Oryzias latipes: one gene and its partners. The main gene of each other region encodes a partner of the protein of the gene in region 3 in a complex. Links are inferred from orthologs where the notes say so. Each region holds a gene or a part of one and is shown on either strand. Other genes may lie near its edges.

Evidence for each region.
Region 1: the proteins of protein S100-A10 (region 3) and anxa2 are in contact, whole or in part, in a crystal structure (PDB 4FTG), measured with the Homo sapiens proteins. The link is inferred for Oryzias latipes from reciprocal best matches to the Homo sapiens genes S100A10 and ANXA2. Residues at the interface, in NP_002957.1 of Homo sapiens: Phe39, Gly41, Phe42, Asn45, Gln46, Ala51, Lys54, Ile55, Leu79, Ala82, Cys83, Tyr86, Phe87, Met91; in NP_001002857.1 of Homo sapiens: Val4, Glu6, Ile7, Leu8, Lys10, Leu11, Ser12, Leu13.
Region 2: the proteins of protein S100-A10 (region 3) and hltf are in contact, whole or in part, in a crystal structure (PDB 4HRE), measured with the Homo sapiens proteins. The link is inferred for Oryzias latipes from reciprocal best matches to the Homo sapiens genes S100A10 and HLTF. Residues at the interface, in NP_002957.1 of Homo sapiens: Phe42, Asp58, Leu59, Asp60, Gln61, Gln70, Ser74, Leu75, Ala77, Gly78, Leu79, Ile81, Ala82, Tyr86; in NP_001305864.1 of Homo sapiens: Thr32, Phe33, Phe34, Pro35, Phe37, Phe39.

The regions. Positions count from the first base shown.
Region 1 is NC_019861.2:37,474,624-37,479,205, reverse strand, and holds the start of anxa2 (annexin A2), read left to right. Parts: upstream 1-1,311; 5' UTR 1,312-1,481; intron 1,482-2,293; 5' UTR 2,294-2,304; coding exon 2,305-2,355; intron 2,356-3,244; coding exon 3,245-3,338; intron 3,339-4,151; coding exon 4,152-4,246; intron 4,247-4,390; coding exon 4,391-4,504; intron 4,505-4,582. UniProt on the Homo sapiens protein: Calcium-regulated membrane-binding protein whose affinity for calcium is greatly enhanced by anionic phospholipids. It binds two calcium ions with high affinity. May be involved in heat-stress response.
Region 2 is NC_019880.2:5,874,663-5,878,710, reverse strand, and holds part of hltf (helicase-like transcription factor), read left to right. Parts: coding exon 1-19; intron 20-95; coding exon 96-175; intron 176-1,418; coding exon 1,419-1,490; intron 1,491-2,485; coding exon 2,486-2,677; intron 2,678-2,949; coding exon 2,950-3,024; exon of another isoform or gene 3,025-3,104; coding exon 3,105-3,165; exon of another isoform or gene 3,166-3,236; coding exon 3,237-3,288; exon of another isoform or gene 3,289-3,379; coding exon 3,380-3,444; exon of another isoform or gene 3,445-3,538; coding exon 3,539-3,586; exon of another isoform or gene 3,587-3,938; coding exon 3,939-4,046; exon of another isoform or gene 4,047-4,048. UniProt on the Homo sapiens protein: Has both helicase and E3 ubiquitin ligase activities. Possesses intrinsic ATP-dependent nucleosome-remodeling activity; This activity may be required for transcriptional activation or repression of specific target promoters.
Region 3 is NC_019869.2:1,215,795-1,219,460, reverse strand, and holds protein S100-A10, read right to left. Parts: upstream 1,941-3,666; 5' UTR 1,895-1,940; intron 1,283-1,894; 5' UTR 1,263-1,282; coding exon 1,134-1,262; intron 1,061-1,133; coding exon 899-1,060; 3' UTR 819-898; downstream 1-818. UniProt on the Homo sapiens protein: Because S100A10 induces the dimerization of ANXA2/p36, it may function as a regulator of protein phosphorylation in that the ANXA2 monomer is the preferred target (in vitro) of tyrosine-specific kinase.

The DNA of each region.
Region 1 (4,582 bases), on a different chromosome or scaffold from region 3:
ACACGGTCAATACTTTGCACAGCTTGGTGTAGTCGTCAATAGGCAGCAGGAGCCCGGGAACTACCTTCTGGGGGGCGGGGAGTCCAGACAGATGGAACGTGTGGACCACGGGCCTCAGCGCTATTACAGGTTACAGGTGTGAGAGCCAGAAATCTTGCTTGTTTGTAGACGACCAAATACTTATTTTCCACCATAATTTACAAATACATTCTTTAAAAATCAGACAGAGGGATTTTTTCCCCTCATTTAGTCTCTCATAGTTCAGGTTTACCGATGAGGTAAATTACAGGCCTCTCTCGTCTTTTTAAGTGGGAGAATTTGCACAGGTTGTGGCCGACTGAATACTTTACTGCCCCACTGTATATCTGGTAGGAATATTTCCAACATTATCAGACTATTGGGTATAATTGATTATAATAATTACATATCAGACAAAAGTTTCATTCTATTTGTTGATTATTTAATGATTTATTTAGAATGTTTAAAAAAGAATGGAACCATGAGGAAAAAAAAGAATTTGACTCAGTTTGATGTTTTGACGTTGTGACGTAAGCCTGGCTGTGAAAGAGGTCTAAGGGTTGGTGGAGGTGGTGGAGGCGGGGCAGACAGTGGATTTGTGCTAACATCAGTCATACACGAGTTGCAACAGGGACTTGGCTTCACTTGTTACCATGGTAACAGCAGCAGACTCAACGATGACAGATGTGTCTCTAGCCCCGCCCTCCTTTGTATCCATGACTCCTGATATCAGTGATGCCCCTTTCTGGGGTGGTTGCCTGTAGGGCTGTAGGGAAGGGCGGTGCATTGCCCATTATGACCCCAACAAGGTCTACCCCCCCTCCACCCCCGCATCCCACCACTCCCACTTTATGGCTCTGTCTGGTTACATCTGAGCAGAATATGACCGCTCCTTAGAGCATGATGGGAAAAACCAAATGTTAGAGATGCTTTAGAAACCTGAAAAATGAAAGTGCTGCTCCTTGGAGTCTTTCAAAATAAAACAAGAAGTCAAATTGATTTGAATGTTTGGATTTTATGAAGAAAGCTGAAAGATTTCAGTGCAGTCTGAAAAAGAAACAAAATTGTTGTAAAAACTTTGGTAATTGTTGTGATTTGTTGCATTTGTTTTTACTAAGAAATGTTTAAAGGAACTAAATTAAAGTTAGTAGCAAAGGTGGGTCAAATCATGACACAAAACGCCCATCTTTTTCTTGTAGCTTTAGTTAAACCGGCTCATCTCTGACCTTTTGATTAACCAGCTGGATAAAACATGAACTCTCCATATCTGGCGTGCTGGACTCTTAACCAGCTGGTCGTCACCCACTTCTGACCTCCAAGCCGTGCCGTGGAATTCGTTGCGTTCCACCTGGTGTGTAAAAGTCTGCCGTGAGTCATGACCGTCTATAAAGAGCACACCCTGCTCCGTTCTGGACCATAACGCCGCTGCTGCTCGCTGCTTCTCTGCTGCTGCTTGTCCGAAGGTAAGAAAATCCTTCAAAAACTCCAAACTTCTTCTTCTGAGGACGTTTTTCAGGTTTTCAGTTTCAAAACACCTAAACAAAAGCTTTTATTTTGAAAGTTGATGAATAAAACTGAGAATTTAGGTCATGTTAAATGATTCTGGACTGGGTTGTTGTACAGTTATGTGGAACTTTGAAAGCAAACATTTAAATTTCAAAGGTAATCTGAAGCTGCAGTTAAATTAAATTCAGAGCAACTAAAACTTTGAAGGCATAAAACAGGGAAAATACTGCAGGTGACTCTTACAATACTCGTACTGTGAAACATTAACGTGTTCCACAGTCAGCAGTCGCCTTTCTGTCGGTTAGTCATTCACTGATGGTTGCAGGGACGAGGTGTGAAACGCCTGAGTCAGCAGGGCGGGTTAAAAGTCCACGGATGAGGGTTCAGCGTCAGATAAGATGCAGGGGAGCATCAGGGCGAGAGCGGCACTCCCAGCCAACAGCGGTGGAACTGCCCCTCCTGACTATTTGCACCGATGGTTGCCAGGCGGCAATCGTCCAACACCTCCGGGGGCAGGTTTTCAAGAGGGTCAAAGGTGGAGGGAGCTTTCTTATGATTACAAGGAGTCATCACATTCCTGCAGGCGGGGCTGCATCACCACTGACCCTCCTCTTCCTCAGACACGCCCTCATCCCTCCGTGCAGATCAAACTTCCGGGATGAAACCCGGGGGGAAATTCTCTCGTGTTAAATCATCGTTTGTGTTTTAAGACAAACAGTTCATGTTATTTTCAGAAGAAATGATGCTGATGGAAGTGTCTGTGCTGCAGGAGAACTCGTCATGGCTATGGTGTCCGAGTTCTTGGGTCAGCTGACGCTGGCGTACGGAGGGGTGAGTCTGCGGTCAACACTCGGCCCACGTGGTCAAATCCTCTGAAACTCCACCCATCAGGCGGAGGCTCTGAGGGCCCACCGTAAAGCTGTGAACATTTGCAGGCCTCAGTCTGGAGAGCGTTTGATTCCCTCCTCAGTGCAGAAGTTCTGAGGAGTTCACGCTCACAGCTGAAGGTCGTCTTAGCAGATTCAGGAAAAAGATCCCAGAAAGTTCCAGAAAGGCAGTGAGACCGACGGGGCCAAGGCCGTGACCACCGTGAAGCCCTCCAATCACAAACTGGGAGGCGGAGCTTCGTGGGGATGTTTCCCGTCATGTTTGGAATTAGATGCTCTCCTGTAGAACTTTGAACCTCCTCACATGAGCATTTATGGAGAGACGATCATAAGGCTGAGGGCACTGTGGAGGAGGTGTCATGGTATGGGGTTGTTTTTAACAGACTCCAGGCTGGAAACTGTTCAAAGCCAATTTGAGAAGTTGAAGTTCCAGCCATGGAAGTATGACTCTGTCCTGGAGAACGTCTCTGGTTTGACCTGAACTCAAACAGATCCGTGATCATAAACGATCCATGGAGCCAAAAATCCCAAAGGTCTTCATGATCCTGAGTCCAGAGAGCCGCCACGGCGTACCGCCTCCTGCAGCAGAACCGTTCTCCGCTCAGTCCGAACTAACAAAGCTGAGGAATTCAGGACTCGAGTGCAGACCTAGAGCTGGAACTCGAAGCTGTTCCACACATGAATGTGAAATCTAAACCTCCACCTTCATGGTAGACTTAGGCGCTGATCTACGCCTCTCTGCTCCTTCCACGCCGTTTTTCTGTGAGCGGCGGGCGCAGAACTTTGTGCTTCGGCCGCAGACGGTTATTGGACCTCCTCCCTGTTTTCTGCAGGAACCTGAGCCCAGATGTCCCACTGTGGTTCCGGTGAAGGACTTTGACCCGACTCACGATGCTGCCAGAATCGATGCTGCCATTAAAACGAAAGGTGAGGAAGGGCGGGAGAACCGCCACACCTGAAGGGAACCAAACCTGCGCCACACAAGCACTTCCTGTCTGAACGCTGCAGTACAGCAGAAAGATTTTTGGCGTCAGAACGAAGAAACGGGTCTGAGACAGAAATGATCTGCGGTGCAGAAAAACTCCAAACCCAGAGAAGGAAATGTGCTTTTGTTTTGAAATGTCAAACCCCAAAGTGACAGTTGGACTTTACTTTGAAAAGCCCGGCCTTTAAGGTTTCTTTTCAGCTGCTGTACTGATTTTTCATTTTATATTTCAGAGAGCAAATTAAGGTTTATATTTCCATTTAAACACGTTCTCAACAGCAGATCCAAAAATGAAACTTGATCTTTAACCAAAATGTCTCAAAACCTTAACAAACTTTAGAGAAAAAACATTTCAAAGGTTTAAACTGAAATCTGTGATTCAGTCTGTATCAGATTTTATGCTGGAAGTGTGAAGCTGAAAAAGCAGCAAAATTCAAAGCAAGACAGAAAAAACTTTTAGAACTCCAATTGATTTAAAACAAGTAAAGGCGGTTCTGATCCATCCGTTCAGATCCAGTTCAGTCGATCAATTCAAAAACCCAAATCCATGTGAACTGAGCTGAAGTATTCTGATCATGTTGATGATGACATCAAGTTCTTCTTAACCAGAGGATTTTTAAATCATAAAAAAAAACAGAATGTTTGTTTTGAAGGCAGATCCTGTGTTTTTCTGGGCTGTCAGGAGCTGCTAGGGTCAGAATGTCTGTGGCTGACTTTGTCTTTTTAAATAAAGTTAGAGCTCGTTTCACCTGCAGGAGTGGATGAACAAACCATCATCGACATCCTGACCCGGCGAAGCTGCCAGCAGCGGCGGGAGATCGCCTTTGAATATGAGCGAATGGCCAAAAAGGTGAATGGACCCCCGGGGCACAGGCGGGGGGCCGTGGCCGTGGTGGTGGGGGTGGGGGGTGGGGGGTAGATCCTTATTCTAATCTGAGATGGAACTGCAGATTCCACTGCAGTAAAACCTGTCTTCCTGTTTCTCTGCTCCTAGGATCTGTCCTCCGCCCTGAAGGGGGCGCTCTCTGGCTCTTTGGAGGCTCTGATGTTGGGTCTGATGAAGAGCACCGCCCAGTTCGACGCTTCTGAGCTCAGAGCCTCCATGAAGGTGGGAACAGCTGTTTCACTGACTTAACCGCGTTTGAACCGCACGTTTCTCTGAACGGACAGAGTCCAAAATATTTTT
Region 2 (4,048 bases), on a different chromosome or scaffold from region 3:
GACGGAAACAAATTAGCAGGTATGCCTGAGTCTTTCAGGAACGTCTGTGGATGCTCCAGACACGTCTGGTTTTACTATTATTTGCTTCCTTTCAGGTCAGAAAACCAACAGCATTTCAGGCGCTCGTGCTTTTTCATCCAAAAAAGGAGTGACTGTCCCACTAACTGCAGAGGAGGTAACTGGATTTAACGACATGAAATGTTTGTTTTCTGTTGAATCGGGACAAAGAAAATGGTAGTCATTTCCATTTTCTGGGAAAAGTATGTTGAAGTCCAACTCCGATCATCTTTTGATCTATTTTCAAAGCGTTCCCAGTGGGCTTTTAATTAGGATTAAGCCATTTTTCTGCCACAAATAAAAGCCCCACCTCCACTTCCCATCACCTATCTGTTTACAAGCAATATTGGTGAACCAGCTGCCATGGGAGGAGGAAGACGAAGACCTTCATGGATCTATTTATCTCTAAGCGGATGCATCAGAATGGAGCGGAGCAGGAAGCTTTTGATTGTATTTTCAGTATCAAAAGCGGTCTTTTTTTAAACAGCATTGTTTTCATCTGCTCCTGATTCACAACAATCTAAACAAAGAAGTACCCAGAAATGCTTCATTTTCTTTATACCGTATTTTCCGGACTATAAGTCGCCCTTTTTTTCATAGTTTGGCAAGGGGTGCGACTTATACTCCGCAGCGACTTATATTAGATATAAATTGAAATAAACACATTGTTAACCCTCCTGTTATGTTCATTTGTGAGGAACAGAGATTCCTGGCTAAATTTGATGTATGAGGTATGTTAAGTGTTAAGAGTATGTTAAGTGACTCAGAGAATCAGCAAACCTTTTTTTACAGTAAGATCTTGAAGGCTAAAAACATAATATTCTATTTTCCAATGATTTCATAGATTCAGAAATGCAATAAAAGTGAAAACTGTTTCTACAAATACAGGATGAAAACAGAGTATTAGTTGGCCAATGATGATTCATGAAAGGATTAAATAAATAAGTACGAGAAAGAATTACTGTGAAATTATGAGATAAACAGTCTGCTATGATTGTGTCATATGAGGTTGTGAAAGTTATTAGTTCTTGGTCCCAGATTTTGTCAAATAAATTTCCCATCAAAATGCGACTTATAGTCCAGTGCGACTTATGTGTTTTTTTCTACTTTATAATGCATTTTTGGGCTGGTGCGACTTATACTCCGGTGCGACTTATAGTCCGGAAAATACGGTAAATGTCCCCCACCTTGAGGGTAAAAAAAGTTCCACAAGTACATGTTAAAAACCCCATCGGAGTGGGTCTTTAGACATTTCATGGTCTTTTTACATAAATTAATATTTGTCATGTTATTATAATGACACAAATCTTCTAGCCTTTGCTCATTTCTAAACTCTGTTCTGCACTTGTTGTCTCTTTCAGCTGAAGAATGCTTTTGACAACCTGTTTGAAGGTTTGATGGAGAGTAAAGACGGAGAGAAAGAAGCCGCTGAGGCGAGTACTGATTCCGTGTTTACGTCAGTCAGCTGTTTCCTTTTTGGGATTGGATCATTTGGATTTATATCCTGGAAAACAGTCGATATAAAGATTTCTGTTTTTTTTCTGTTTGTGTTCTTCATTAGTTCAGTCTTTTTGTTTTCTAAAGTCTCACTGTTCAGAAATTTTTCACCTTAAATTGGCATCTAGTTGGAAATAAACACCTAGCTATTTTAGAGATGCGGTAGCATGAACAGAATCAATTTCCGAAATATTGTAAAAAAAATAATCAATTACATTTATGACCTTTAGAATCATCTAATGCTAAATTTTAAACAAAGTTTACAGTGCACACGCTCAGGAAACATGAGTTGCTGAACCTGCTGCTTTTTTCAGGAGAAACGTCCAATGAACTTAAGATCAACCGGCAAAAAGTCTCTAATTTTATGCCCCAAAAGTGATGGCAGTTAAATAAAAACATTTTAAAAAGTAATTAAAGTAGTCGGCTGATGAGCGAAGAAACTATAATCCTTATCAAGGATGAAGAAAGTGCAGCGGCAGAACCTGGATTCATCTTTTCATGCCCAAAACATTAAAGTCAATTATATTATTTGTTAAAAATGTCTGTTCTGGATCCAAAAAATAGTGGGGTGTTTGCATAAATCATTTAGTTGTTGCCAGGCAGAAATGTGAAGAAAGTAAACAAATCGTAGCGATCGCAACAACCGACATCAAAGCTCAGTCCAAATATTTCAAATAATTTAATTATAATATGTCTTAAACTCAGATTTACCACCAGATCTATAAGGTGTGATCACATTTTAACTTTTAACAAGTTCATATAAGTAGGAAAAATGGTTATTATAATGATGATAGAGGGCAGAAATCCTTCATGGCAACAATAATGTGATGTGAGAAGAATAACAGAATTGATGTTTTTCCCACAAATTGCTTCACAGCTGCATTAAAGGACCAACAGTGATTTATTTTTTATTTTTTAATCTTCTCTGCAGTCTGTGGCCACGCCCCTCCTGCCTCACCAGAAACAAGCGCTTTCCTGGATGTGCGCGCGAGAAAACAAATGTGCGCTGCCGCCATTCTGGGAGAAAAGAGGCGATCTGTACTACAACAGCCTGACGTGTTTCTCCTCCAAAGAGATCCCAGAGAGAGTGCGTGGGGGGATCCTGGCAGATGACATGGGACTGGTAAGCCGCTCAGATGCTAAAACAACCGTGTTTTAGAAAAAAGGCCACAGGGTGATGGAGTTTCCATGTTTCACTCCAAAGGCATGAAGGTTAGGATAATTGGAAATACTAAAAAATGCCATCGAAACGACTGTTGTTGTGATTTTGGGCTATACAAATAAAATTGAATTGAATTGAATTGAATCCATAAATGGGATCGTAAGCGTGCAGGATTAGGCAAACTAAAGGGCACATTTGAATTGTAGATGTGTCTTCTCTGTTCTGCTTTTCAGGGCAAAACTCTGACAACAATCGCCCTGATTCTCACCAACTTTCACAAAGGGAAGCCTCTGCCTGTGCAGAAATGTGTAAGCATTTTTTTTAATTCTTATATTCTCACAGCATTACATTAATGCAACAGTTTTTATTATTATTTTTGTGTGCACAGCAAGAACGGCCCTCACCTTTCAAGGTTAAAACTAAAACGGCAGAGGCCTCCAGACGGGAAGGTAATCGTCCCGCCTTTCATGTCATTTCAAAAAGTTTCGAGGAAGCATGACGTGGCGTTTATCTCATGTAGATAAAGCAGCAGGAGCAAGCAGTTCAAAAGGAACTGATCCCGGCTCAGAAATGTAAGCATCTTTTACTCCTGACACCAAAAACTTGTGATGTTTGTTTTAGCTTAGAAAAAACAAATCCTGTCAAACATAATCTGTGAATCAGAGTAAACCTGGAGGAAACATTCGACACGTCTGAGGTGGTGGAGGTGAAGGAAGAGAAGCAGAAAAGTACGAGCTTTCACATCTATTTCAAGTTATTCGGGTGTTTTTTTTTGTACTTTAGTTTGACCTTATACCTTTAATTTTGTTTTTCAAACTACAGAGTTAAAGAAAGGCAAGTTGAAACCCACAAAGCGAAAACCCGGTAAAGGTGCGTCTCCACTCAAGTTGTGAGCTTACATGTCAAAATAAAAGCTTGATAAAGCTTTTTGTGATGAAAATTGTATTTTTAGTGCAACATTCAGTCCCACCCGCACCCACAACAGCTCCTGCCGCTCTGCAGAAACTATGTCCTAAAACGGCAAAGGTTTTTCGAAATTGGCTCAAATCGGCATAATGATATTTATGGTGAACACTTTAAAAACAGAACTACAGATGATCGGAGTGGGACTTTAAACGTTTCAGTGACAGAAATGTCAGAAAATAATACATATATCATAGCTGACGAGCACTTTTTTAGGATCCGAATTGACTGATTCTCTCATCTTCTGTCTGTTGCACAGAGGCTCCGGTGTTGCTGGAGGACCTGGACTTTGCTGCAGCTCTAAGTGGTTCATCAGACACAGGCCCAAAGAAGAAGAAAACCTCTCAGAAGTCCACCCTCAAAGACAGT
Region 3 (3,666 bases):
TCAGTTTAATCCCAGGTGTGGCAGGAATGAGTGAATATTTGTGAACTCTGAGCTCACGCCCCCCCACCTCAGCAAAATATATGGTAAAACTGAGTGTAGGATGATGATTTGAGGCAAAAGTCTCAGTTTCTTCATACAATCAAGGATCTCTACGGTGGTGAGTTGTGCGGCTCACTCATCCTAAAACAAACAAACAGCAGGAAAGTTGGAAAAATGAACTCAGCTGTGTGGGATGTGGGTGTGAACCTCTGCAGTCACACACACAGTCAGAGCCCCGTAACCTAGCAACCACAGTGTTTGCCCTGTAACCACGAACAATGATCAACCGAGATCTGGCCCCCGCCCATAAATGTGTGCACAGAGCTCAGCGAGCGTGCAGACGTTAACCCCTGGGTTTAGTTTTTCCGGCATTCGGTGACCCGCCGCGGGTGGCATGAGTTGCTATGGAATAAGCTGAGCTGGTTGTTTCTTCTCCTTTTGCTTGGATTTCACCAAATCCAGCAAATAACGGATGTTGTGAGAAAATGGAAGGGCTGATCTCCATGTGACTCAGGCCCTCCACATTCTTGCAGTGGGCTGCGACACAGAAGCACATTTCACCGCGTTGCCCAATCTCAGTGTTCCTGAACGCTCCACAAAGCTGAGAGTTTCAACATCAGCTGAGTCAGTCAGCAGATTCCTCAGGGAAATGATAAACAGGACTTTATGGAAGGGAGGGGGCAAGGTTTACCTGCCCTGTCCTCTTTAAAGAGACGCAGTCTCCTGGTCTCAGCTGCAGCTTTAACCAACAGCACATACACACAGACACACACAACAGCTGACAGTCCAGTTTCTTTAATGGATAAAACAATCTTTACAACAAAAATTGAAATGCTTTTGGGTTTCTTCCCATTGTTCTTCACTTCTTCCCTCGCTTCTTCATCTCCATCTGGTAACATTGCTCACAGGCGACCGACAGTCCAACAACCAAAGACACAAACTCCTCAAAGTCCACTTGGCCGTCCCCGTTGGCGTCCAGGTCCTTCATGATCTTGTCTACGGCGGCGGGGTCCTTCTGAGCCTGCAAGAGGTAAAGGAGGGTCAGCCCACAATCCAACCCACAGATTCAGCCCTCTCCTCGCCGGTTTCTGCACCTTGAGGAAGTTGGAGAGCTCGTTCTCCATCAGCTCCCGGAGCTCCCGCCGGTTGAGCTGGTTGTCTTTGGCGTAGCGGTGGAAGACCTTGATGAGGGACTCCATGGCGTTCTCCAGTTCTGAAGGCATGATGCTGGAACGTTCTGAGACTTGAAAAGAGCAGCAGGAAGCGTTGAACATTTTCATCATTTGCTGAGCCATCAAAAAAAGGTTTAAGGAAACTTATGGGGTTTTTTAAGGGGAAAATCTGATTCAAATTTGAGAACATTAACAAAAATAGAATGGCATGGATAGCAATAGAAGGGATATAAAGAAGTAAAAAGTCTGTATGCCACTGTAATCACAGTAATCTTTCTGTAAAAGCATCCAGATGCTTGTTTGTCTTTTGAGGACTGTTTGAAGCCCAGAATGAGAGGGGACAGAAGAAAAGCCCAACACATGTGAAAACATGCCCACAGTCCAACCACACCCTTCCTCACACTCCCTATAGAGGAACCACACAGCAAAGATGCAAAATGTCACAGAAATGGGAAAAAGTGCCACATCGTCTGACGGTTTCCCAACGAACTGCTAAAGTCTGCAGAAATCTGCTGTCAAAAAAGGAAAGTTGTGAAAAAGTTGAATCGTTGACAAGGAAGTCTCAACTAGAAAAGCCCACCACAGATCTAGATCACACAGATCCCTCCTCAAGAACATTCAGGCCGATGGAGCGACAGAAAATCATGAACAACTGGAGACGGAGCAGAACCGTTAGATCTTACCTCACAGGGCAGAGCAGAAGCAGAAGTGCACTGAGGAGGAGTTGAGGAGCAGCAGGAGCAGCAGCAGCTTTATAGGGAGGCGCCGCCCTGACCGCCGCACAGTGACTCACTCAGACTCCACAGGATTGGAGGAAAGCCTCTGGTCACAGAGAGGTCTGACAGTCTTCAAAATAAAAGCAGAAAACTGACTTTTTAAGTCAGACTACAGTTTCCCATCTTTTACTAGAAACACACAGGAACTTCATCTGGACATCAATTTAATGTTAATAAACACAGAATAACTATGACTTTAAAAACACGTATGTCAGCTTCACGGCAGTGAATCATAGAATATATGGAATATCTGCTATCAAACCGCAGACCAACAACACACCCTGGACCGTAAGCAGAAGGAAAGTCCAAACTTCCATTGAATTGTCTGCCTAGATTGATGGCGCCCTCTAGTGGAAACACATCTGTCCATCATGTCTGCTGGAGCGTCCGGCAGGGAACACAGACGCAGATTTGATGAAGGTAAATGAACTTCTTCTCTCCTTTCTGCATCTGTCAGGTCAAGTACTGAGTTTATGGAAATATTTCAATGTAAAAACAGGAAATCCACATCGTTTTTCCGTCTGATTCATAAATGTCTGCAGTGTCGGACCGTCAGTCAGTACTTTAATGACTAAATGAGGCAATGACCAAAGGGTACTTTTTAAACATGGTGGCAATGACAAAGAGAGGATCTATCGATCTAAACCCTACATGTAGAAACAGTTCATCAAGGTGTTCTCTTGTGAATAAATGTGTGTTTGAAGAACGTGTATTGTGTGTGTTTGTGAGCTTCAGCAGGTCGTGTCCATGTGACTCCTGCTGCTGTGGAAACCTTTCAGCAAGCAGGACTCTGGGTTTGGTGAACGGTAAAAGGCGTAGACTGATATAGTGCTTTTTTATCTTCCTCGAAGGCCCAAAGCGCTTTACAGTCACACACAAACATTCACAAACTGGTGGCGGCTCCGCTGCCGAAAGTTGGCGCCAACCTTCCACCATGAGGCAAGGTGGGGTTCGGTTTCTTGTCCAAGGACCGCCCTACCCCTGCACCACAGCCGCCCCATTTGGTTTGGTCTGGAACCGTTAAATAAAATATAAAATAAATAAAGCTCAGACACAAAAGGGATTTGTACAAATATACAATCTGTTTGTCTGAAGATCTATAAATCCCTGCAACACGGATATCACAAACCAAAGCAGGTTTCCATGGAGACTGGAAGGACCCAACAGCTGAAGCAAAAGGCTGGAGAGCAGAGTGGATCTAGAAATCTTTATTTAGCTTGTAGGTTGTATGCTGGGATTAGATCCAAAAAATCTAGAGATGCTTTATCTTTTTAGTATTTAGTTATTTGTTAGTTAGTTGATTATTAATGTTTGACATATTTATTTATTTAGACTGTTTTATTTGAATTAGTTTTTGTAATTGTGGTAAGTCTGCGTCTTAAAAAATATATTTTTAAATTTCTGGTTTCTGGTTTCTGGTGCTGGTTCGGTGGATGTGGTCCAAGGAACGTGTCCCGGTCTCTGTTAGGCACAGGAAGTCCAAACACTCCAACGTGAGGGTGTCGTTGGAACCAAACTGAAATGATTGCGTAATTAGCGGCGCAAACCGGAGCGTGCTCAAGCCCCGTGGTTTCCGCCACAGAGGTCGTCGGTTTGGCGTGCTCACCCCTCACAGGCGGGAGTCTTCAGCTCCTCACACCGATGACGGGAGTCCGCCAGCAGATCAGGAAGGACGGAAC